Linked DNA regions of Coturnix japonica. The protein of the gene in region 2 interacts with the protein of the main gene of each other region in a pairwise test. Links are inferred from orthologs where the notes say so. Each region holds a gene or a part of one and is shown on either strand. Other genes may lie near its edges.

Evidence for each region.
Region 1: the proteins of PER2 (region 2) and CSNK1D interact in binary tests that used the Homo sapiens proteins (3 or more experiments, as listed by UniProt). The link is inferred for Coturnix japonica from reciprocal best matches to the Homo sapiens genes PER2 and CSNK1D.
Region 3: the proteins of PER2 (region 2) and CRY1 interact in a two-hybrid assay, tested with the Homo sapiens proteins (5 studies listed by BioGRID, with this or other methods). The link is inferred for Coturnix japonica from reciprocal best matches to the Homo sapiens genes PER2 and CRY1.

What each region holds. Positions count from the first base shown.
Region 1 is NC_029533.1:4,234,122-4,241,580, reverse strand, and holds part of CSNK1D (casein kinase I), read right to left. Parts: intron 6,162-7,459; coding exon 6,013-6,161; intron 5,638-6,012; coding exon 5,409-5,637; intron 5,039-5,408; coding exon 4,868-5,038; intron 3,506-4,867; coding exon 3,357-3,505; intron 2,802-3,356; coding exon 2,630-2,801; intron 2,139-2,629; coding exon 1,999-2,138; intron 1-1,998. UniProt on the Homo sapiens protein: Essential serine/threonine-protein kinase that regulates diverse cellular growth and survival processes including Wnt signaling, DNA repair and circadian rhythms. It can phosphorylate a large number of proteins.
Region 2 is NC_029524.1:4,255,448-4,262,906, forward strand, and holds the end of PER2 (period circadian protein homolog 2), read right to left. Parts: intron 5,829-7,459; coding exon 5,642-5,828; intron 5,293-5,641; coding exon 5,100-5,292; intron 4,528-5,099; coding exon 4,377-4,527; intron 3,316-4,376; coding exon 3,166-3,315; 3' UTR 854-3,165; downstream 1-853. UniProt on the Homo sapiens protein: Transcriptional repressor which forms a core component of the circadian clock.
Region 3 is NC_029516.1:49,003,737-49,011,195, forward strand, and holds part of CRY1 (cryptochrome-1), read right to left. Parts: intron 5,626-7,459; coding exon 5,517-5,625; intron 2,775-5,516; coding exon 2,632-2,774; intron 1,546-2,631; coding exon 1,361-1,545; intron 134-1,360; coding exon 45-133; intron 1-44.

The DNA.
Region 1 (7,459 bases), on a different chromosome or scaffold from region 2:
CCTTCCATTATGACATCACACTGACCTCTGCAACACCAAACTGCAGCCTCCTCAGCCGTTACCTATCACAGATAGAGTTTCCATACATGAGACAATGGGCTCCACTTCTTGATTATGATCAGATTTTGGAATGGTCCTTAATAGCCTGGCCATGCAAGTGGGATACTTACTATAGCTATAAAGTAAAATTGAAGTCAATCTCTCTTGCCTTGTCAATACGACAGGCCTATGGGAAATTGCTGAAGTTATATTCTGGTTGCATACTGTTATTCAGCTACCACTAATGGTCAGCAGCTGTTCAGTGCCTTGTTAAGAACTAAGGAAAAATGACAGGTGATGAATGATTAATTTAGCAAACGCAGAGAAAAACCAGACTAGGCTGCTATTATAAAGAAGTCAAATTCCATACTTGGAGTGATTCCATGCTTGGAGCAGAGTGCTCAAGGGTGGGTACAGAGATATGCAATCACACCACAAATTATATAGCTGGCAATTTAAAGATCACTCAAAAAACCCATCCATATTGCTAAACAATCTCAAAAGTATGCTTACTTCACAAGCTAGGCAGAATCAAAACCCATCTGCAAGCCCATTTGTGAGTCTCATACCTTACAATGCTTAGAAAAAAGCAACATATACACTGAGCTTCAAGTCAGCAATACAAAAAAAAATCTTTAAGATACATTCAGACTAATTAAGTTTAATCACCTATCACAGCCAAGCAGCATAATTACACTTTTATCTGTTACACCCCTGCCTGACTGGTAATAAAGTATCTGAAATTTGCTTAGAATGTCAGAGACATTCATACTTTACTAGGAAACCATCTTTACATTTGAACAAATATTCACGATCATGACCTCACAGAATAGCCAAGGTCAGAAGGGACCTCTAGGGATTATCTAGTCCAATTACACAGCTGAAAACGCAGTCAGCTGGAGCAGTGTTTCCAGCCCTCCTGTGATTCTGTAATCTTGAAGTTACCTGCACTGCAACCCAAGGATCTGAAAACTCACTGAGCTATTTTTCTAGAAATCCAAAGTAGCACCACTCTAATCCAAACCACCGACATCTTGAGCTTCAAGATCTTGAACAACAGCTAAATCCAGGCCCGCTGCTACAGGGATACACAGCACCATCTATACTTGGAGCCCTTTGATGTGGATATGCCTAAAAGCACTGAAATAGTTTTATAGTTGCCAATTTCTCATTTGGTTTTTGGCCTGTTTCTATCCCCATTATACAGCTGAGGGAAGGAATTCTCCTTCTTTCCTAAAAGCACTTTGAAATTGATTAAAAATGAAAAACTTCTTCAATATGAGTATTCATCATCTTTGCATTCTTTTTGCAACCTCATTCCATCTCATATGCTTTCATTTATTCCCAGAAAGAGAACTAAGTCAGCTACACACTTATATTTTACTAGATTCCATAATCCTTCTGCTGTCTGAATTCTTTCTCATTTACACTGTAGGCCATGATGTAGAACCCAGGCACAAAAAACTACCCTGCCCACTCAGTCTTCACTAGAGACACCCACCTCATCTTCATCTAAAAGAAAGCTCCAAATAAATTTAAAATATCATTTGCCAATCTTAAAATTCAGATCTTAAAATCAATGAGGATGATTTCAGTGCAGACTACAGCTACGAATCCCTGCACCATTTATAGTCCTGCCATCTTCCTCAGCTGAGCCTACTGTGACCTCTCTATCACTCATCTATGTGGCTTCTTATTCACTCAGAATTAAAGGACTGCACTACAGCATTTCTTGATTCCTGCTCTTTTCTGTTTTTTACCAATCATTTGTTATCTATTCTGCACCAATAATCTCTGTACCAACATCAGAAACATTCCAGCCAAATTTCAACTATTTATTCGAGTCAACATTGGCTGAAAAATCAGTATGAGAGCACAACAATTACTTTGTATGGTTACCTGCCAAATTAACCTTATCAAATAACACCCATTTTTCCATTAGACAAGAATTGTTTTTACCTGTGAAGTGGACATGCGAGAGGTGTCTTGTCGGCCTGTTAAGTCAGACGATGAGACATTGACTGGGGCACCACGGTGCAACCTCATACTCACTTTTCTTTCTCGTTCCATACCAGACACCGGTCGAGGAGATGTGTTGGCTGTGAGAAAAATTGCATTAGAATTTTCAGAATGAGGCATGTAATAAAAATGCAGTCACTGGAAAAATTACGCTGTTGGCGCATGTAAATTCTACAAGATCAAACCAGAGAAATCAAGGCTTTCATCTTATATTCGCAGATAACTCTAAGTAGCAATTAGCAGGTAATGAGTGTGTGTAATTACCTTCAATCTACGGAAAATTAAAAGGGAAAAACAAAAAACAATCAGGCCAGGCTGGATGTGACTCTGGGCAGCCTGGTCTGGTAGTTGGCGACCCTGCACATCACAGGGGGGTTGAAACTGGATGACCATTGTGGCCCTTTTCAACCCAGGCCATTCTATGATTGCATGAAACAAAAAAGTCCAAATGCTGACTCACTCAAACACCACTCCCATATCCTTATTTTATTTTCAAATTCCAATGACCAGGAACAAACTGCATATTAAAGCAGACTGGGAGGTGCGTCAGCCCATATATTTGCTTACTTACCAGCATGTGAAGTTGGGGTAAGAGGAGTAGGAGGAGCTACATCTTGCGTTCCCCTCAGCCTGCCAGAAGCAGTGGAGGGCAATCCACGCACAGCTGGGTTTCGTGTATGTCTCAGCCTCTCCTCTCGTTCTCTCCTTTCACGTTCAGCATCTTCAGCCCCTCTGCTTGCACCCTACGGGTCAGGACTAGTGAACAACTTAAAGGATTATTGAGCTTACAACTATACATTTGAATAAATATTGACAACGAAGAACTGAAGTTTGAGGAACTTGTTTGATAGGTTACCAATACCTTGGTAAAATTTCTTGAGAACTATCATAGATTCAGTTCATACAATCACTGGGATAGTTCAAATCGCTAATAAACACACACATACTGTTATGGCAATTGGACACTTCCTAAACTGTTGTATGTGAGATGTGATAAAGATCAAGACAGGTAAAAATAAGAAGTCAGCTACCCAATGTGGCAACTGCCTCAAAGGAAGCAGCTTAGGAAGCCTACTACACTGACAATCCTGTAACTACAACTTCGTCATTAAATCCCAATCTAAAGCCTCCTTTATGTCCTGCTTTTCTCTACTTCCTCCCTCCCCTCATTTTTAGGGCAACAAACCTTCTGGGACAGAACACTCTTAAGGTATCAGTTAAGAACCCAAAACTGACAGTGTGATTAAAAAAAATAGCATTACAAAAAATTGTTTTAGAAAGCCACACCAGCTACTCACAAATTTCAGCATGTTCCAGTCAAACACATAGTCATAGGAGAAGCCTTGTCTGTGGAAGAGGTTTCTGAATAACTGCCTTAGGTAGGAATAGTCAGGTTTGTCATCAAAACGAAGAGAACGGCAGAAGTTCAAGTATGTGGCAAATTCAGCTGTAATAAAAGAAAGCCTGTTTTTCTCCTTCAGCTTCATATTTGGTTTTTATGGCTCAGAATCATTAAAAAAATAACAACCACGACACAGAACCTCCCAAACATACAAATACTGACATAGTACTAGAAATCTACTGAAAGCAACACTACATCCCCCCTGCCAAGTATGGTCTGAAAAGAAAATTGTCTATCACAGATTAGGCGAAGGCTCCATTTATCCATAGCAGGTAGGACTGTGTTAGGAGGAAGAAGAAAGTTTAAAACTACATTTCAGCAAAGGAAAGATTTACTTGTCCTTTCCTTGCTCTGAATGTACTTAAACTTAATGTACACAGAATAGAATCTCTTTGCTAAAATACCAGCTATGCAGTAAAAACAGAACATTATTGTGTATTCAGTGCTCCAGAGATACACCAGTGTCAATCTACCAGCTCTTGACTTTAAGGCTTTCCACCTAAAATGATGTATTAATAATTCACATTAAGTAAGGAATTTTAGGCAACTGTTCTTGTGTTGTTTGCCATCTTGTCTGTTCATCCCAGAGGAAAGAAATAGTTTATGAGTAAAGGAACATGCACGACAGGACTTTTGGAACACTCAAAAGCTTTCATACATCCCTCACCATAGCTACAATTCTCATCATACTTAGCTAACACAGCACAGGGCAAGGAAAGAAGAGAGAGAGATCACTTCCTGAAAGGTGAACAATATTCCCTGAGGGTAACTAATACATTAACAAGTTTTGAAACATAGTTATTACTCTGCATGAATCAGAAATTCTTTTTTATTACTAGGGTGTAAACACCAAGAAAAGAAACTGAGCTTTGAGGGATGATGCCAGGATCTGGAGGGATTCTTACACCCCTCACAGATAATGGCCACGGTCAGGCTGGACTGGATGAACTTGGAATGACAATTCCAGAACAACACAATTGCAATAGATGCAAATGACTGTACAATCTGGTTTATCCAGAAAGAATATCCACACATGAAGAGATGGGAAGCTTCTCAAAAAGTTATTTGGCTGTTAATAATCATCCTGCCAGAATTTATGCATGCACACACAAGACAGTGCAGATCACATACACACACTATGCTGTCTTTCAAACTCAAGAGCACCACAGTGATTGCTTACTAATAGTTATGACAGAGGCTAAGTAGAAACAGCCTACGAACAGACAGATCCTGGTCTTGAAAGCACGGTGTCATTATTATGAGCATGCCCAGTTGTAGGAAAAAAGTCAAGAAGACTGTAAACAGGCTCCAAACACATTGTGACAGAGGAGCTAGAAAGCATAAATAAAAAAGACATACCACTAAAAAATGAATACATGGGCCTAGTGACATAAAAGAGCAACTTACAAGGATATCCTTTACACAAAACCTCAATGGGTGTAGACATTTTCTTTTCACTGATACGTTCGTATTTCTGTCTCTTTGTTGCTGCTTTCAGTCCCTGCCAGGGGAGGGAGCCCAGGTTAAAATACATCAGTACATAGCCCAAGGACTCCAAGTCATCTCTGCGAGATTGCTCTACAACAGCATAAAAAAGTGGACTCATTAGGTTTCATTATCTAGTGGGAAAAAACAGAAGACTGAGCAATAATGTGTCAAAAACCCTTAAAATACAACAGACAGATGAAAATCACTACATCTGTGTCAAACTCACCCAGTATTAGAAAAAAAAAACAAACGATCACACTTGCAATTATTAAAGAAATGTGTCAATTCCTTAGAATTACAAACTGAACCCCACCCCAAGAGGCATAAGTCCAAGCACAATGTGTCATGAGTGCCAGCAATAGGGTCTGTCTTCTATGCCCCAAAAAGCATCATCAACTTGCACTGAAAACACATGTATCAGCACTTGTGAAGGTTCTATTCATTGCTTTTCCCAGCTCACCAATTCCAAGATGAGTGTTGATGGATGCATAACGGGCAGTTCCTGTTAGGTTTTTGTTTTCACGATATGGGATATGTTGGTGAGTTCGGGCATCCCGGTACTTCTTTGCTAATCCAAAGTCTATGATGTAGACAAGGTTGCCTTTCTTCCCCAGGCCCATGAGGAAGTTATCTGGCTTCACATCTCGGTGGATGAAATTTTTCGAGTGAATATATTCAATTCGACTGATCTACATACAGACAGAGGACAAAAAACAATTGAGATATCAGTCATACCCTTTTCTCTCACAAAATCGCTAGCAATGTTATCACTACTATCACATCACCTCAGCGATAAGCAAGATAAAGACTTTTCTGGAAAAGGATATTAAAGTGAATAATTTAGAAAACAATAAATATATCTTCCCTGCAGCTCTTTCCCTGTGTCTATGTTACATTGTTTCTAAAAACCTCATTCAGAGTTTTTCCCCCCTCTAATGATACACCCTATTCAGCTCTAAATAAATATAAACAAAAAATGAAACAAAATACAGCTGGCCATGGTCACTCAAGACATTTTAACTAGCTTAACATGCTTTGCAGTCACAGGCAACACAGTTTCCTACCATTTGGTCAGCGAGTAACAAGACTGTCTTGAGACTAAATTTCCTTGAACAAAAATTGAAGAGGTCTTCAAGACTCGGTCCCAGCAGCTCCATCACCATGACGTTGTAGTCCCCTTCTGCACCACACCACTTAATAGTGGGGATACCCACTGCAAGATAAGGAAAGAGTTTATTAAGCATAATAACTTGGTTTATGAAGTTAGTACACACAGATCTTCAGGGTTCTTAAGGTGGACTCTAAGAGTCATTACTGCCAATGTTTGTATCCACAGTGACCCTTAATATTTTATGATACTTTCAAGCATTTTGAAATGAAGCATTTGATCCCTTCATAACTGGACCAATACAAAACTGGAACACAAGAGACCTGAAAATAGCTGTAGCCTGGTCCCCCTTCCCAGTCTTTATGTTTTTGAAAGCAGACAGTGGTTTTGCTGGATTTTAGCCTTAAGTGCTTTGCATGTAGAAACATTCATGGTCTCCAAAACAGCAATAAGGAGAAAATCAGAACCCTGAAAATAAAGACACTGACAAACCACTGAGTTTTACTGCTAGAAAAGGCTTTAGAAATGAAATTATTAGTTTCAAAGCCTACAAAATCCATGCAAAATACCACTCTTTCAGGTTACAATTTGGAATGCAGTTTCACCCCTCCTTCTTGCATTCACTCCAGTTCTGCGACATTCGCTGTTTGGTGAATCCCTACCAGGATAGCATTGCTCATGAGACATACTGTATATTGCTATACATCTAGATGGAAAATCAAAGTCAGCTTCACTTCATGGAGAAACTTGGGAAAATTGTTCCACAAAGAACTGAAAAAAATGCTCAGATGTCTTGAATTAAACCTGCCGATAGCCTCACTCTGAATTTCAATTACCTTTTCTTTAATTCTATGAAATTTAGAAGTGAAGAAATGCAGAAACACTTCTAGAATCACAGAATGGCTTGAGTTGAAAGGGACCTTAAAGACAATCCAGCTTATAATCACCAAGATTGTAATTAACTCATCTAGAATTTTCACTTATTTACAGCGAATTATTTTTATCCCAAATCCCTTTCATAGAAAAATCCTTACTTGGACCATTACTAAACTTCTGCCACCACCTACCCTGCACTGCTCATTCTGAAAAGAAGCTGATATGGCCTCTGCAAACCCATACAGGAAATACTTTACCCCTCATTTCATGCAGGCTGTTAATGAGACTTTTACATTGTAGAAATCTCAAACATGACTGATTTCTCCCGGTGAGCTAGGATAAATACCACACAGCTACTTCACTGCTGTTCTCTACCTACTAATGCCATCACATCTTACAACGCCTACTGCAAGGAAGTAGCTCAGATGCAGGAATGCTAGTGTATGAAAGAAAAAATGATCCTGAATTCACTAAGTCTAGAATTGTGCTCCTACATTAGAGCAAACCAGGTTAAGCCCTACCTCACA
Region 2 (7,459 bases):
AGGAACTTTCTAAGCATCTTATCTGAAATTAAAGTTACAAATCTTCCCTTTTACATCAAAGAATGTAATAAGCTCAGGAACACAGGAAGCTGAGCAGAGAAAGAACGGGGGTAGCAGAAGTGCCAGACTTCATCACAGGACACCAGTGACGCCTAGGGGCTACAGAGGTGGGAGAAGCTGCCAGACAAAGCCTGCTCCCTGCAGTGCTAAACAAGCAATTATCTGAGTGCACATTGCCAATGTGGCAAATGCCTAAAGTCACATTTGGCTTGTAGTCTTCTTACTTTCACCACTAGGGGAAAACAAATAAATAAACAAATCATCAGGAGCAGAAATATTTGAAACATACCTAGCAGTTTTTCAGCAACAGTTTGGTTCTCATCACTTTGGTTCAGCCATCTTCAGTCTTACACCATAGAGAAAGATGACTAAACGCCATACAGCTCACATTCATTGGGCTTAACCAAAACTCTCTGCCCATAAGTGATTGGTATAAAGCTACAGAGGACAGTAGTATTTAAAGATGACATTAAACAAAGTAAAAAAGGACAACATGAACTTCTGCTGCTTCCAAACACCACACAGAACTCAGCCACATACTCTCTTGCAGGCATTAGCGTGCACACATTTTCGGAAGAGCTGGTCAGTCTAAAGATTCTGCCTTACTTTTCATCACTAAGCTTTCAAGCTGGACAAACTGGCAGCAATTCAGCATAGTAAGCCACAACCAACTTGTGGCCACTAATACATCGTGCAAGTTCTTGTTTGACGTACCAGCTCAGAACAGAGCTGCAATACGTGTATTTTTTGCTTCTTACGTGGAGTAGAAGGGCTCAAGAAACAGAAAGACAACTAAAAATATATCTGTTTTATTTACCAGTTTTCTAAAAAGCAAAGTCATAAAAATTAGTCACGAGTGGCAAAACCAAAATATATTGCACAGTGTACAGAAACCATTGTTGACATGTTGACAAAGTGTCATCACAAATAAATCATCTTACAACAGCTTGGAAAAATTACAGCTTCAGAATCTTATCTATAAATGGAGGCATGTAGATTTAAAGTTACAGGAAAATATTTAATACCACCCTGTAAATGCAAACACTTTAAGGATGCAAGAATAAGACCGTAATTAAGCACATCCACAAAATGCTCTAAATATACTTTTCTCTTCCTCTCACTAAGTTATGCTTACAAGATGGTCATTGAAAAAAAGAAAGAAAAAAAGAAATGAGAACAAAAAGAAAGGAAAAAGAAAAACACAACAACAAAAAAGCATGCTAAAGTTCACAAAGTGGTTGAGAAGTCCCTGAAAATAATTTGTTTAATAATGATGCGCTCCTTTATATATAAAGCTTTTGTTTTTCCCAAACCCTGGTCCAATTAAAACTATTTGTGTTTACATGTAATAAAAAACAAAAAAGGAATAGGTAATATGCTGGTATAGCTGCACTGTTCCATTTATGATAGAAACATTTAATATATTGGACTGGAATACCAACATTTTAATGTTTCTCATTCGGTTTATATACATCTACTCAAGTTTGATCTTGCAGAAGTGTTAAAGACAGGAATCAGATCACGCTGATGAGCGTTTCACACTATGTTTAAGATACTCACTTCTGAAGTAGTGATTCTACTTGTTCTGTAACTTCACACATTCTAACTGAAGAACCTGTCTCCATTGCAAATTTCCTTATGATGCTGTCCAATTAATTCATTCATTCACACATTTCATCCACTAAGCAAATACCAGTCACTTCAACATGTTTTTGGCGGTGCCAGATCTACCTTCATGTCCTCTTTGGATGCAAAGAGAAACATTTCCATATAATGAAAATAACTTTCAGTGAATAGAAACGTTATCTTAATATTAAAACAAACAAACAAAAAAGAACCAGAAGAAAAAAAAGCTTTCATGAAAAATATTTTAAGACAAACATAGCAAAGTTAATTGAGTTTCTCCACGATTTTGACCCCCCGAGACCTACAAGCTGACATCTAGCAATGCTGCAACTAGATTTCTTCTAACTAATCAATATTGATAGTTACTCTCTTTTGTTCTCTTCCCACATCCAACATGTACAAACAACGCAAGGACAAAGTACACATATTGAAGTTGATACAATCGCTGAGGCATTGAAATTAAATCCTTGACAGGTAAGGACTCCAGCCACACTAAGTGTTAAGTTATGTAATCTGTGAAAGTCAATGGTATTCTCAAAATCTCTTTTTATAAGAAATATCTTCCAATTACGAGAAATGTCTGATCCTCTCTTGCCACATGCAAGTTTGATGTTTGTTTAGCCAAACAGAAAAACGGACGGCCAACATCCTAACAGAACAGACCAAAAATAAAGGTTAAATGACACCACATTTTGTCTCAGTCACTGGAGCACACACAGTCATCCTGTGTGTTTGCAAATTTGTTTAGAAGAGATTTTGTGTGTAAATTCTCAGAAATCATGCTTCGAGATAATACACAGTTCATAGAATTGCAGTGTCCGTTGAAACAAAAGGCTACAGAGTTGTCAGCACTCACCTATGCTTTCTTAAGTATCCACGTAAGTATTTTAACCCAAGATCACCTTACAGAATTAGTTCAGCATTTCTTTTAGGCAAAAGGTTCCTATAGTCAACGCTATAGGAAACAAAGAGGATGGCTCAGACTGGTACAAAAAGGGCAAGTGCGAACTGATTTTCTTGAAGGTTGTTTCTTCTATTATGTTGGACCACTTCAAATATTAAAAGCAATGCTAAAGAGCTTCTAAGCAAGATTCCTAGAACAATTTATAATGCTGAACCGTTACTCAAAGATTTTAAGAGCTATACGTTCACAAGGGGATTTTCAGTACTCACAGTACTCACTGACCCACTCAGTAGGCATCAATGAAAGCTTTTATAGTTTACAAAGAAATACTTGAGGCATATAAGTGCAAAATATGAGTTTTTTTTCTTTAAATAAAAGCTATACCATCTTCAACAATGTCCTTACTGGGAAGAGATTGCCACCATTTAAAAAGAGATTCTTTCACAAATGACTCTTTTAGAGTGAGAAAAACATTTGCTTTATGAACCAGATTCATCTTGCTGGAAACAAGATTAAAACCTTAATGGATCATCACTGTAATTTTGAAGCAGCTTTAAAAGCAACAGGCTCAAAGGCTATGTTTGTTCTTCACTGACTTGACTCAGAGAAACCAGATTGTTCTCCCCACTGTCTTCAATCATTTCATTAAGGTCCATTTCATGGATTTCTTCATCATATGACGTATAAAAATTGCTCTGTATATTGTCCTCACAAAAAATACATTCCTAAAATAAGACAAAACAACATTAAGTCAAAGGAAAAAAAATAATAAAAAAACATTTTCCAAACATCAGTTTATTTGCATGTGATCCCTGATTCCAAAGGAACTTGTAAATCTGTGCCACACTCAGGTTCCATCCTCCAGCTGCTCCTACACAATCAATTTATAACATAGTAAATCAGCACAAGGTACTCGACAACTCTACTATGAACAGCTACATCACAGAATATTTACAATTCTGACTTCTCATAAGCACTATAAGAACATCTTTTCCTACATTTGATTGCTAACACTGGTACATTAATACATTCAGGTCAGCTGCACTGCTTAAGAGACTGAAGTGACTGTAGTTTCACACCTGTTGGATGCCCTCACATCAATGCTGCAGTAACATTAATAACAGAAGGATCTATTCAAATTCTATCGCATTGACTTTTGAAACATCCATGAATAAAGAGAGCCTCTGCATTTGATAGCTTATCTGAAAAGAAGCTACAAATGATGGGGAACTTAGGGAATTGGAAAGCAATCATTTATTCGTAAGTAAAATTCACATATAACCAATAAAACTGCGAGGATTCCTTCCCCCTTCCCCGCCCTTTGTTTCCTGAGCTACTAATCTACTTATACAATCTAGACAAGGAAGGATTCTGCAGGAAAAACTTAATACAGAGAAGGAAGACTGTATTCCCATCCATCACACACTTTCAAGGAAGAAATAGGCCTAAGTTTCTATGCTCAAAACATGTTTTTGCATGAAAATCTCGTATGACATGAATGAAATTGCTAGTTGCATTGATACATAATTTCTAAGAGATTCAACAAAACTAGAAATGACAGACAAGGCCATTCCTCATACTGGATTCACTACCTCAACTTTTCTACTGGAAAGAAGATTACCAGTAAGTTGAATCAAGCCAGAAGCCATGGCAAGCAAGTTTGATTTTAACTATTTCTCAGTATAACTGACCAAGCTTTCTTCCAAACAGGAAAGGAAAACTAACACAGGCAGCTAATAACAAGCACTGTTATACATGCGAAAATAACAAACTGATTTAAACTTACAGAATTAGCAACAGTCTTTGGCAGTCCACCTTGCTGGATCCACGGATGAACTTCAATAAGCTCTCTTTTTTGGTCTTCGGTAAATTTTGGTTGTAGTTTCTGCATTTGCTTTAGTTTCAGCTTATCTTCTTTTAAAACTGTTTCCAAATCTCTAAAATGAAACATATTCAGAAATTGAGCTTCAGTTCTTTCAGGGCTTTACACCTACATAATGTCACACAATCAAATACAAGCTTTTTTCTTTTATTAAAAAAAACAGTTTTTGTTCTGGATTGTTCAGTTTACAGATCTGACACTGGAAAAAAAAAAATGAAGTGTGATTATTTCAGCAGCATTCTACATTTGCAGAAAACTTTAGCACATCTCTGCTGGCTCATTGTCCTTCCAAATCCCACTGAGAACTGCTTGCTTAGTGCTACCACTGAAACAAAGAAGTTCAGTACCCCTCTGCAGATGCTGCAGTGAGATCCAAGTTCTCCTTCAGCAGGACAACCTGAATCAGACACTAGATACACACATATGAGATATGCATCAGCCTCCAGAAAAATACGCCTGACCAAGTCATTCTCCAGAACTTCTGAAGATAGTATGCAAAAGATATAAAGGAAGCAACAGTTCTTGACACTGACCTAAACAAGGTGTCTTCTATTAAGACAGAGATTCAGTTTACCCTGCTCCCCCAATGTGCATGCAGTTTATGAAGGACTGAGGTGCTGGAATTACCTAGAGGGTATCTGGTAAGTCATCATAACTGTATCATCTGTGTTTGCCATCAAAAGCCATATGGGATCCTGAAGAACGTATTTAATGAAGTGCTCACTTTCTTCTATTTCTGCCTTCATTTTTGTTTTATGATGGTTTTCTGAGGAATCGATGCTCCCAAAGTATTTGCTGGTATGACTAGTTTCACTACTGCCTTTAAAAGAGAAATTAAAGCTTCATTAGAAATTGTCAAATACATAGACCAGTCCTGTATTTTTGAAGATAGAAATGGGTAAAAAGAAATGAAAAAACAAAACATCATGACCATTTAATTTCATTTCTAAACAGAAGGTACTCCCACTACAGTAACCATTTAAACATTTTAAAAACCTAATCATTAAAGCTAAAACTCTATTAAACTGCAATAGAATAATTAACTAAAAGGAAATAAATTTGAAACACAAAGGATTATGGTCCTCTCCATTACTCAATTCATGTGAGGTCTGTAGGATATCACAATCCAACGCTTCTAAAATGCTGGGAGTATTCACTGCCTGTATTACCTGTTCTGCTTCCTGACATGTCACAGCCGTTAGATCCAGACCCGAGAGATTCAGCAGCTGCAGATACTCCGCTCCCTGAGGAAGCTGAGCCAGTGCCTGAGCATGCATCTTCTTGAAGTAAAATGTCAAGCAGGACACTGGACATAGAGAGCGCATCGCTATTTTGAGCATCCATTGGAGACTCAGCCTGGTAAGAGGAAGAGGAGGGAAACAAACAACAACAGAAAATTAAGGTCATCTCATCTCCAGTTTCTTACATTTACTATTAATCCACTTGACTTGGTATTCTGTTAAGTTTACACTGCTTGTTATTTGTCAACATGAACAGTTACAAAACTGCTAAACTTCATTAGAAGTTGGCTTGAAGAATTTCAGGAATTAACGTTGATGAAGAAATTAACAGAATACATTGTAATACATGAACAAGCTTCAGATATATCCTCAGTGCTTTCCTGAACAAATGCCTGCTTTGCCTTCATGTTCAAACAAGTGATGATGAAATTACAGAAAGTAATATTTTGCAGGTTTCCGAACAATGGGAAATAGCCTCCTGAGAGAATTCCAAAGGATTTCCCGTCAAAATTGTTGGTATTTTTTGTTATCAAGCTTACTTTAATCCAGTAGCAACATTTCAGAGCACGCAGTAAGTCTCAGACCATCACAGATGCACTTCTTTACCATGCACAAATCTAAGGTGCTTTATTTATGTACATATATACATTAAATATAATGTGTGTATATTATATACACATACACTTGTTCTCAAGATCATGAGACACCAAGCGTGCCACAACAGAATACAGTAAGCTTTTGCATAATGTCAATAAAGTTTGGAAGTTTCACTAGAAAGGCAGATATATTATATTCCTTTCTGCTCCCCCTCTGATCATCCCCCTTAAGAATCAATATCAAGATTATTAGGTAAAATAAATCATCTGGAAACTGAGCAACTAAGTTTGTCAGAGTGAGGAGCAAGCATGTTTGTACGTTTTACCTTCCACCTCCACAGTTTCTAATGTCGGCACATGCCCACGACAAACTATATAACAAAGTCATTTAATCAGCTGTTGGCATCAGCACTAATTGCGCTCTATGACTGATTACTTGGAGCATGTTTGATCTCACATGCCAGTAAGAGCCACACCTTCCAATGTCTGCTTTCCTTTGAACAGCATGGAACTCAAATTGTACTCTGTATACGCTGTCAGTTATAGTGAACAGTTACAGCCCACATAAGAAGAAAAGCAGGAGGTAGGAGGACATTCTAGAAGACTTAGGTTGCATCCCATCAGTGACTCAGCATTCGGAAAGACACTATGCAGAATCCTTATGCAACAGTAATGTAACAGTCTATACCATCATCATAGAAATCCTTAGACACAGCACTCCACCTGAGGTTTGTCAGATTATTAGTTTAATTGATCCAACAAATCTAAATGAGCCAGGAAAAGAAGCTGACATTATCACATAGCTCTGTACGGAGCTTTAGGGCACAGTGCACCAAGAAAAATAAACAGTGTCCGCAGGCAATACCTCATACTTTGTTTGCAAACAAGTAGTCAAAATAAAAAGATAATTTCCTTTATATCAGCTTCTTTCAAGACCTCAGTTACAGGTTGCATCTCCCTCACTCCCTTCTCAGAAATTTACTACCCAAAAAGTTTTTGCTAAACATTAAAAAAAAGTGAACAAATGATTTACAATCTATTTCAGTGCTTCTCAATGAATGCATTAGCACTCACATTAAAAGCTGCATAACAAAACTAATTCGGGATTCATTTTCAAGTTTCCTGGGGTAACTTCAGGAGAACAATAAGG
Region 3 (7,459 bases), on a different chromosome or scaffold from region 2:
TCTATTTTCCAGGTACATTACGCTCACCACAATATGAAATATACCTTTCGTTCTAGATGTCTCTCCAGTCGTGTGAGAGCTTCTGTTTCTCCCCCAGGCCATACAGCAGAAGGCAGACCATCTGTGTCAAAACCTGAAAAACAAATTAAAACAAGGAAAGTCCTTGTTTGCCTCTACAGAAGGGCAATAAATTCGAGGGTACTGATACTCGATGGCATATTATTATATCCTCAGAACAGCCTTAAGTTGGACATGTGGCAACATGCAAGTTCCGTAACAGTATGCAACCAAGTTTTAACAAACCATGTTCAATAGCTTCAACTTGCAGGAAAATGCATTTTTTACATTCTGCTATAAAGTTTAACACTGAATGATTTTACTCCAATCCCACCACTTTTGTTTTTGCCCAAACTGACCTGCCTTTCATTTTCCCAATTATTTTCAGGTTTCCAGCTCTGCAGCACACTGATTATCTCTAAACTACAACTTTTACTTTTTATTACCTCACTTCTAAGAAGCAGGAATTGCTTTGTTAATTCACAGGATGCCTACAAACTTTTCCAATCATACTAAGAACATCCATACTACCTTCAGAACTAACATTCCTATGTTTCATTGACTTGGACATCCATAACAGATTGGAATTACAATTAGTAATTCTGCTGCAGAAGATAAAAAAAAAGAGGCAAGCTTTTTTCCCCATCCCCTAAGGACTGCTCAGCAGGTACATGAGATAACAAGTTCAGTGAGATCTTTCTTTCTGAAGAAGGCTTTAAAAGACAAAACAGCAAGAGCATAGCCAAAATTTGTCCAGAGCCTTTTCTTAGGGATTTGGTTGTCATGCTGCATTTGTTTGCATATATATCTTAAATTAAAATTTATACAAACAAGAGATTTTTAGAATCTTCTAAAATAATTATTTGCCTTATTATGGCAATTAATTATTATTATGGTATTTCAGGACAAGCTTTTGGGGCTTTGCTTTGCTTTATATTAAATTGTAAAGTGATAGATCGATGAACACAAGATCACTAAAGCCATATAATGCAAGGAAATAATAAAGACTGTAGTAGCTTGATGATTATTTGGTATCTCAATAAAATGGCGGTGCTGTACTTCAAGAAGCTCAGCAGTATTTAGTGTAGTTTGACCCATCTGACCACCCATTTAAACAAACTCAAAACCTAAAATGCACCAAGCTCATTATCCCTTTTTGTTCTATTTGTTTGACATCATTGACATCAACTAACAATTAACCAGAAGTAGAACTTCTCTCAGGTGGTTATTTTAAGTATTACGCTTTCAGTGGGAGGCTGCTCCTATACTCGTTCTGCAACATCTTAACAGTGTAAGAACTTACCTAGCTCTTCAAGCGACGGGACACCGTATTTCTCATCGTGGTCATCGGAAACTGGAGTGGTACATTTCTGCATTACCTCCGGGGTTATAGTCTCCACTGGCATCTCCAGAGGTTCCATTCTACTAATCAGAGTCTGGAATCGCTTGTAAGTAAGAGGTGGCTGTCCTCCATTTAATTCTATAATTCTGGTTTTGAAAGGAAAAAAAAGAATAAAAACAAAGTATGTTAGACAAGAAGATATTACAATGTTATTTGTTGGGTTTTTTTTTCATTTGTTTGTTATTGTTTGTGTATACATCTATGCACACAGAAGAAATATTGTGCTACACAGAAAGACTGATATACTTGATTATCCAGACAGTTTGTACCTTAATTTCACACCATCATTTTTCCTCATCAGGAAAACATAAATTAACTGTTTAAAATCAAGTCAATTATTCTTAACTTCTGGGCTGACGAAAGTTCCTTAAGAATGAGTAACGAATACAAAAAGCTCGAGGCAACGAAAACACATAGAATTAACAGAGCAGGTAAAAGTCTGCAGCAGCACAGGTGAGTTGCATGCATCTTATAAGATCAGCTGCATAAAAAGAAAGCATTTTTCTACTCTGGCATTCAGAGCAGAGTCCAGTGCTGCAGCTGAATTAATACTGAGAAAAGATTAGGCTGCCATTTATACACAATGACTTGTCAATACACAGTTTTCACATTCTGCACCGTCCATCCATCTTTAAATCTGCAATCTTGGAAACAGGGTAAGTTCAAGAAATAGCTTAAAGCAGCAGATCGAATCAACTGTTCACTTAAGGACAGGGGGAAAATGAGAAGGAATTTTGACAGAGGGGTAGATTTTCAGTTTAAGATTTAAAACTAGTTACTGGTTTCAAATACGTGCATCTAGCAATCTCCCATACATGTGGTTTATAACATTAAAATGAGCATCTACAGTAACAAATTACTTAATGTTAAGAGAAGCCAAATCATATTTTTGAACAGTTTGCAGATTGTGTTTCTATAATAAGGAGCTAATACTAATCCCTTTAAATAGATCTGTGGAATAACAAACAACACATTAAGTAACACAACACAGGGATATCAAACAATCCCCAGAATGTTACTGGATATGTCACTTATAGGAAACAGTGTGAGAAAAATGGAGGACCTTTTGCTAACTTGTGTAGAAATGAAATTGAGACAGAACAAACTAAAATTAAACCAGAACAAGTTCTAGTTGTTTCTTCCTTTATAAAACCAGAGTAATGGTAACTTACTTGTCTAGGTCATATAATGTGTGAGAAATTCGAACGATGACCTCCACTCCAGCTTCACTAGCCAGCTTCTTAATTGCTGCATCTCTCTCCTTGCCAAATGGTTCCGAGTCGTATTCAATAGACAGTTTTGCAATGCTCCATTCCTGAAACACAAAATAAATATCCGGTCCTTCAGCAAACCAGCTGCAAGATAGAGAGTGAGGAAAAGGAGAACAGAAAAGACAGGTTGTAACACCAGCTGTAGAGAGCTGGTAAAAATACACAAAGGTACAAGACACAGAGATACAGATATCCTGACTGACAAAAAAGCAGCCAACATTTCGGCACCTAGACTGGAATCAGACAAAAACAAAAAAAGCCTCTATTGATCTGCCCCATTACATTTCCATAGAAGTTTTGAAAATCCAGCTTTAACTTTAGGATCCACATACTTAAGAGGCATAACGGCAGGGAAAGATGACACAGGCTGTCTTCTGGACATTTTTGAGCATGTTTCTAATCCCAGTTACCTTAAACAGGAGACCTAAACACACCAGCCAGACTATTTCAGAGAACGAGACTTATACCAAAGGCACAGGGGTTCACTGTTCACTTAGGGCACTGCTTCACTTCTCCATCACATCACCTGTGATGGAGCACAGGTACAATAATGAGGATAGATTACTCTAGGGAGTGCTTGGCATCCTTCCACCCTTACGTCTGCCAACAATGACACAGCAGGCCCTGAACCCTTTAGCAGCCTCCTCTTACACAATGTTTATTTTACATTCAGTGGTGACGTTTGACAGCTGGTAGCAAGTTTTCTTAAATCCTTCTTTCCTCTGGTATGTTGAAAAGAAAACCATGAAAAAAAAGCATCCAAGGGCCAGAGCCACACTGCACAGAGAGCCAAGGAACTCTGAGACAAGTGAGACGTGATGCGAATACACACAGTTCACATTAATAGTAATGTCAGTTCACATTAGCATGAGGTAGGCACGTAGAGGCAAGGACACACTTTGCACGTGCTGCTTGGCACAATGGATGCTTTTATCAACACTGATGTATTTAAATAAATCAGAAATCGTCCCAGCTCTATTCTGTTCATCAAGCCAGCCCCAAAGCACTAGAGATACAGAACAAACTAGGACAAACTGGAAAGAATAGCAAGAACCAAGTGAAGTTCACCATTTCAAATTAAGTAACAGGTACCAAGTGGGTGTCAGCGACTAATGAAAGCTGCAACTCCGCAGTCAAATGAAACCATCTTTCTTGACTTAAAGAAATAAAATTTTTGCAAAGACCTGCAAAGTTTGCTGATAAAAATATTCTGTCTCTGTGTACTACTCCGGAAGATGACAACCTAGTGCTGCTTTCAGTAGCAATACTAGCTAGTACTGCTGAGAACAGGTGACACCGAATTAAGTCTTAAGGGAAGCAAAGCTGTTCTGAGGGATTGAAAGCGGGCAGGAAAGAAGAACATAAACAAGTATCTCTCTCTAATCCTAGAGTCCTCTTAGTCCTTTTTAACAATTAAAATATATCAGTACTCTGTCTTTTGAAAACATCATCCTCCAAACTGTGAAAAGGAGAGCCCTACTTAAAAAAAAAAACAGCTGTGAAATATTCACCCCCAGGCATCTTAAATAAGGTTTCTGACACAAGAGTTTATAGAAGTTCCACTGCATCCTACCATTAATGGCTTGAAGATATCACCTTTCAGACAAAAAAACAGATGTGTTGTTCATGGTCAGGATTGTTGCTCACTTTTATGAGACATTTAATGAGAACAATTTGAAAAGCTTGATTCAAGGTTCCACATCAGCCACCTGATATATAGGTATCTGCTTTGGCAAAATAGGCTACAGGTGTAACTGTATGAGTTATATACGTGCTTGAGGTAGCCTTCAGCCAAATGACTAACATGCTCAAGAGATTAAAAAAAAATCTCTTTCATTTATCTAGCTTAGTGCTGATGACTGGAAAATTACAACTCTTGAGAAGACAGTCTTTCCAGAAAAGGATATTTTTTCCAGTCTTGCTTATCTCAATCACCTCAATTCAGTCATTCCATAAAACCTCTTAGAATCCATATGCAAAGCATACTGAGCAGCCTGGAGAAGAGAAGGCTCCAGGGAGACTTGATAGCGGCCTTCCAGTACCTGAAGGGGACTCACAGCAATGCTGGGGAGGAACTTTTTAATGAGGGCATGTAGCAACAAATTGAGGGGAAATGGCTTTAAACTGGAAGAGGTACATTTAGACTAGCTATTAGGAAGAAATTCTTTACTGTGAGGGTGGTGAGGCACTGGAGCAGGTTGCCCAGTGACGCTGTGGATGCCCCCTCCCTGGAAACATTAAGGGCCAGGCTGGATGGGGCTCTGAGCAACCTGGTCTAGATCCCTCTAAGGTGTCCCTGACTATAGCAGGGGGTTGGAAGTAGGTGACCTTAAGGGTCCCTTCCAACCCTAACCCTAACCCTAACCCTAAAAAGCACAGCAGAGGTTTGGTCTAAAATCAAAGCACTGCTTTTACAGGTCAAACTTTGAATCTCTGAATTTGTGTACGTGTTATTTCAGAGGGAACCCAGAAAGGAAAACTTAGTACAGGACACAGCAAAACATGAGAAATTAGCCCTGTTTCTGGAGAGAAAAGAATTAGAACTGTGTAGTCTAAAAAGGAACTCAAGCCAATTGATGTGCACATTAGAGAGGAACAGAAATTCAAACATTGAAAAATCCTGAAACTGCAAAAGTGTATTTAGCATTTGTGTTGAAAGCAACTTGTGCTTAAGTATACTAGTATACTTAAGTTGAAACCATTTTGACAGTCATACTCATGGACAGAAACTATCCGTAGGGTAAAAGGAAACCTGTATTTTAGTTGTATGCATTTCTAGCATTTACCTTAAAAAGCCTGGGGAAAACATCTGCTGGCTGTCCACGAATAACAAACAAACGTGAATTCAGTTTCCGTAGATTGGCATCAAGATCCTCAAGACACTGAAGCAGAAACCTGCAAAGAAAAGTAAAGAAATGTTTGCTTTCTGAGGTAGACCAAGCAACTTTGCAGTAGAAACAGGGACCTAGAGGAACAGCCCAACTGTTATCAGATCTTCCATATTTTGTGTGTATTTTGGTGATGCATGCATGTCACCATTCTAAGTACACTTAGCTTGCAGTAGTTCAACAGCTCTTATTAAGCAGCACACAACTGACAAAAATCAAACTGAGCTCTCATTGAAGTTTTCACCTCAGTGCTACTCAGTTCCGGAACACATTAAAAGATACTCAAGTCTTATCTGAATCTGTAAATGTCTTGTCACCCTGAAGGGGGAAAAAATAGCACACCACAAAATAAAAGAGGAGACAATCAGTTATTGGCATACAGCAATGAAACTTAATCCAAGTGCCCCTTACAACACAGAGGCCTGAACTGTTACTAAAAACAGCACGTCGGGGGACTAGATGGTCACAACTACGCCATTGGCCTTCACTTATAAAAATAGCCCTGTTTCTAAGGAGGAATGTCACAAACCAGCTATACCCTCCCTTCAATTTGTAACAAGCAAATCAGGAAACAAGGAAAAAGGGGGGGGGGGGGGGGGGGGTAGGCTGCAGATCTAAAAGTCTTAAGGTGAAACGAGCTGTTGCACATCGGATGTTGAGACAGATCTACGCACCAAAGAATGATTAGTGGATTGAGTAACTGAAGATGGCTGAAGATTGTCTGGGGGGAGACAAGAAAACTGACAGGAAAACTGAGGCTGGTGGCCACCTATGGAGATATTCAGATAAGCATCCTTCTCACAGACCCTTCACCAGCATAGTGCTTCCCCTACAGCATTATCTCTGTGATAAAAGTAAGGTTTTAATTAGGAGCTGCTCAAACCCTCTACCACAGCGATGTTACTGTGAGGCAAATCATGCACTGATGAGGGCAGCTGCTAAGTTTTGTGCATGCATGCGCCACTGGATTCCCCACCATCAACCAAAAGTGATGCCCTGAGAGGCAAAGGAGAGACTCTCCTGCTGGAGGCCATCAATCCTATGAGGACCTCCCATAACACCACTACATATGGGTATACAAGAGCACAGCAGCTTCTTTACTGACAACCACAGTACGTGTTTAATGACAGAAACAAAAAACAATGCCCAGTTCTCTCACTTTGCTAAATTTTGATCTGATAAAAAACAAACCCTCCAAGGCAGGCAGACAATGAAGTAAGATATATATGCTATATCTAAAAAGAAACTTCTGTATAAAAAGTCATTTTAATATTAGATTCTAGAGTGAAATAACATATGCTTCTATTTAAAGAGAATGCAGGCCCTAAGTTTGTAGGCCAAAGTCACTTCTAGGCCTACACTAGAAAGCACAGAGTGTTTTTCTGTTGTTGTTGCTGCTGTTTTAAGCTTGGAATTACAGTCTTTATCATGAATCCTGTCCATTTCAATCTTTCTCAATCTTGTTTCCCAGGAACATATGCGTTCACAAATCACTATAAACATGAACTATAGTGTCCCAGGTGGCTTTGGAATGATAGAAGAGGTACATTTTTGTTTGAATTTAAACTTCAAGCCACAGAATATAGGGAAAAGGTGTTAAGGAGAACTGGCAAAACAAAACACTCACAGCTATTTCAATGCAAGAACTGTCTCAGGAAATTGTTTTCCTACTTACTTCCCCCCTATTTTCTCAACCCACTTTCTTCCTTACTGACCACAGCACACAACTTTAGTCTAGACCTGACACAAAATCCTATTCAAGAAGATTACATGCACTGACCCAGCCTTCAATTCACATCCAAGGTCCCTAAACTTGCCCTTAATACCATTTAATCTCTATT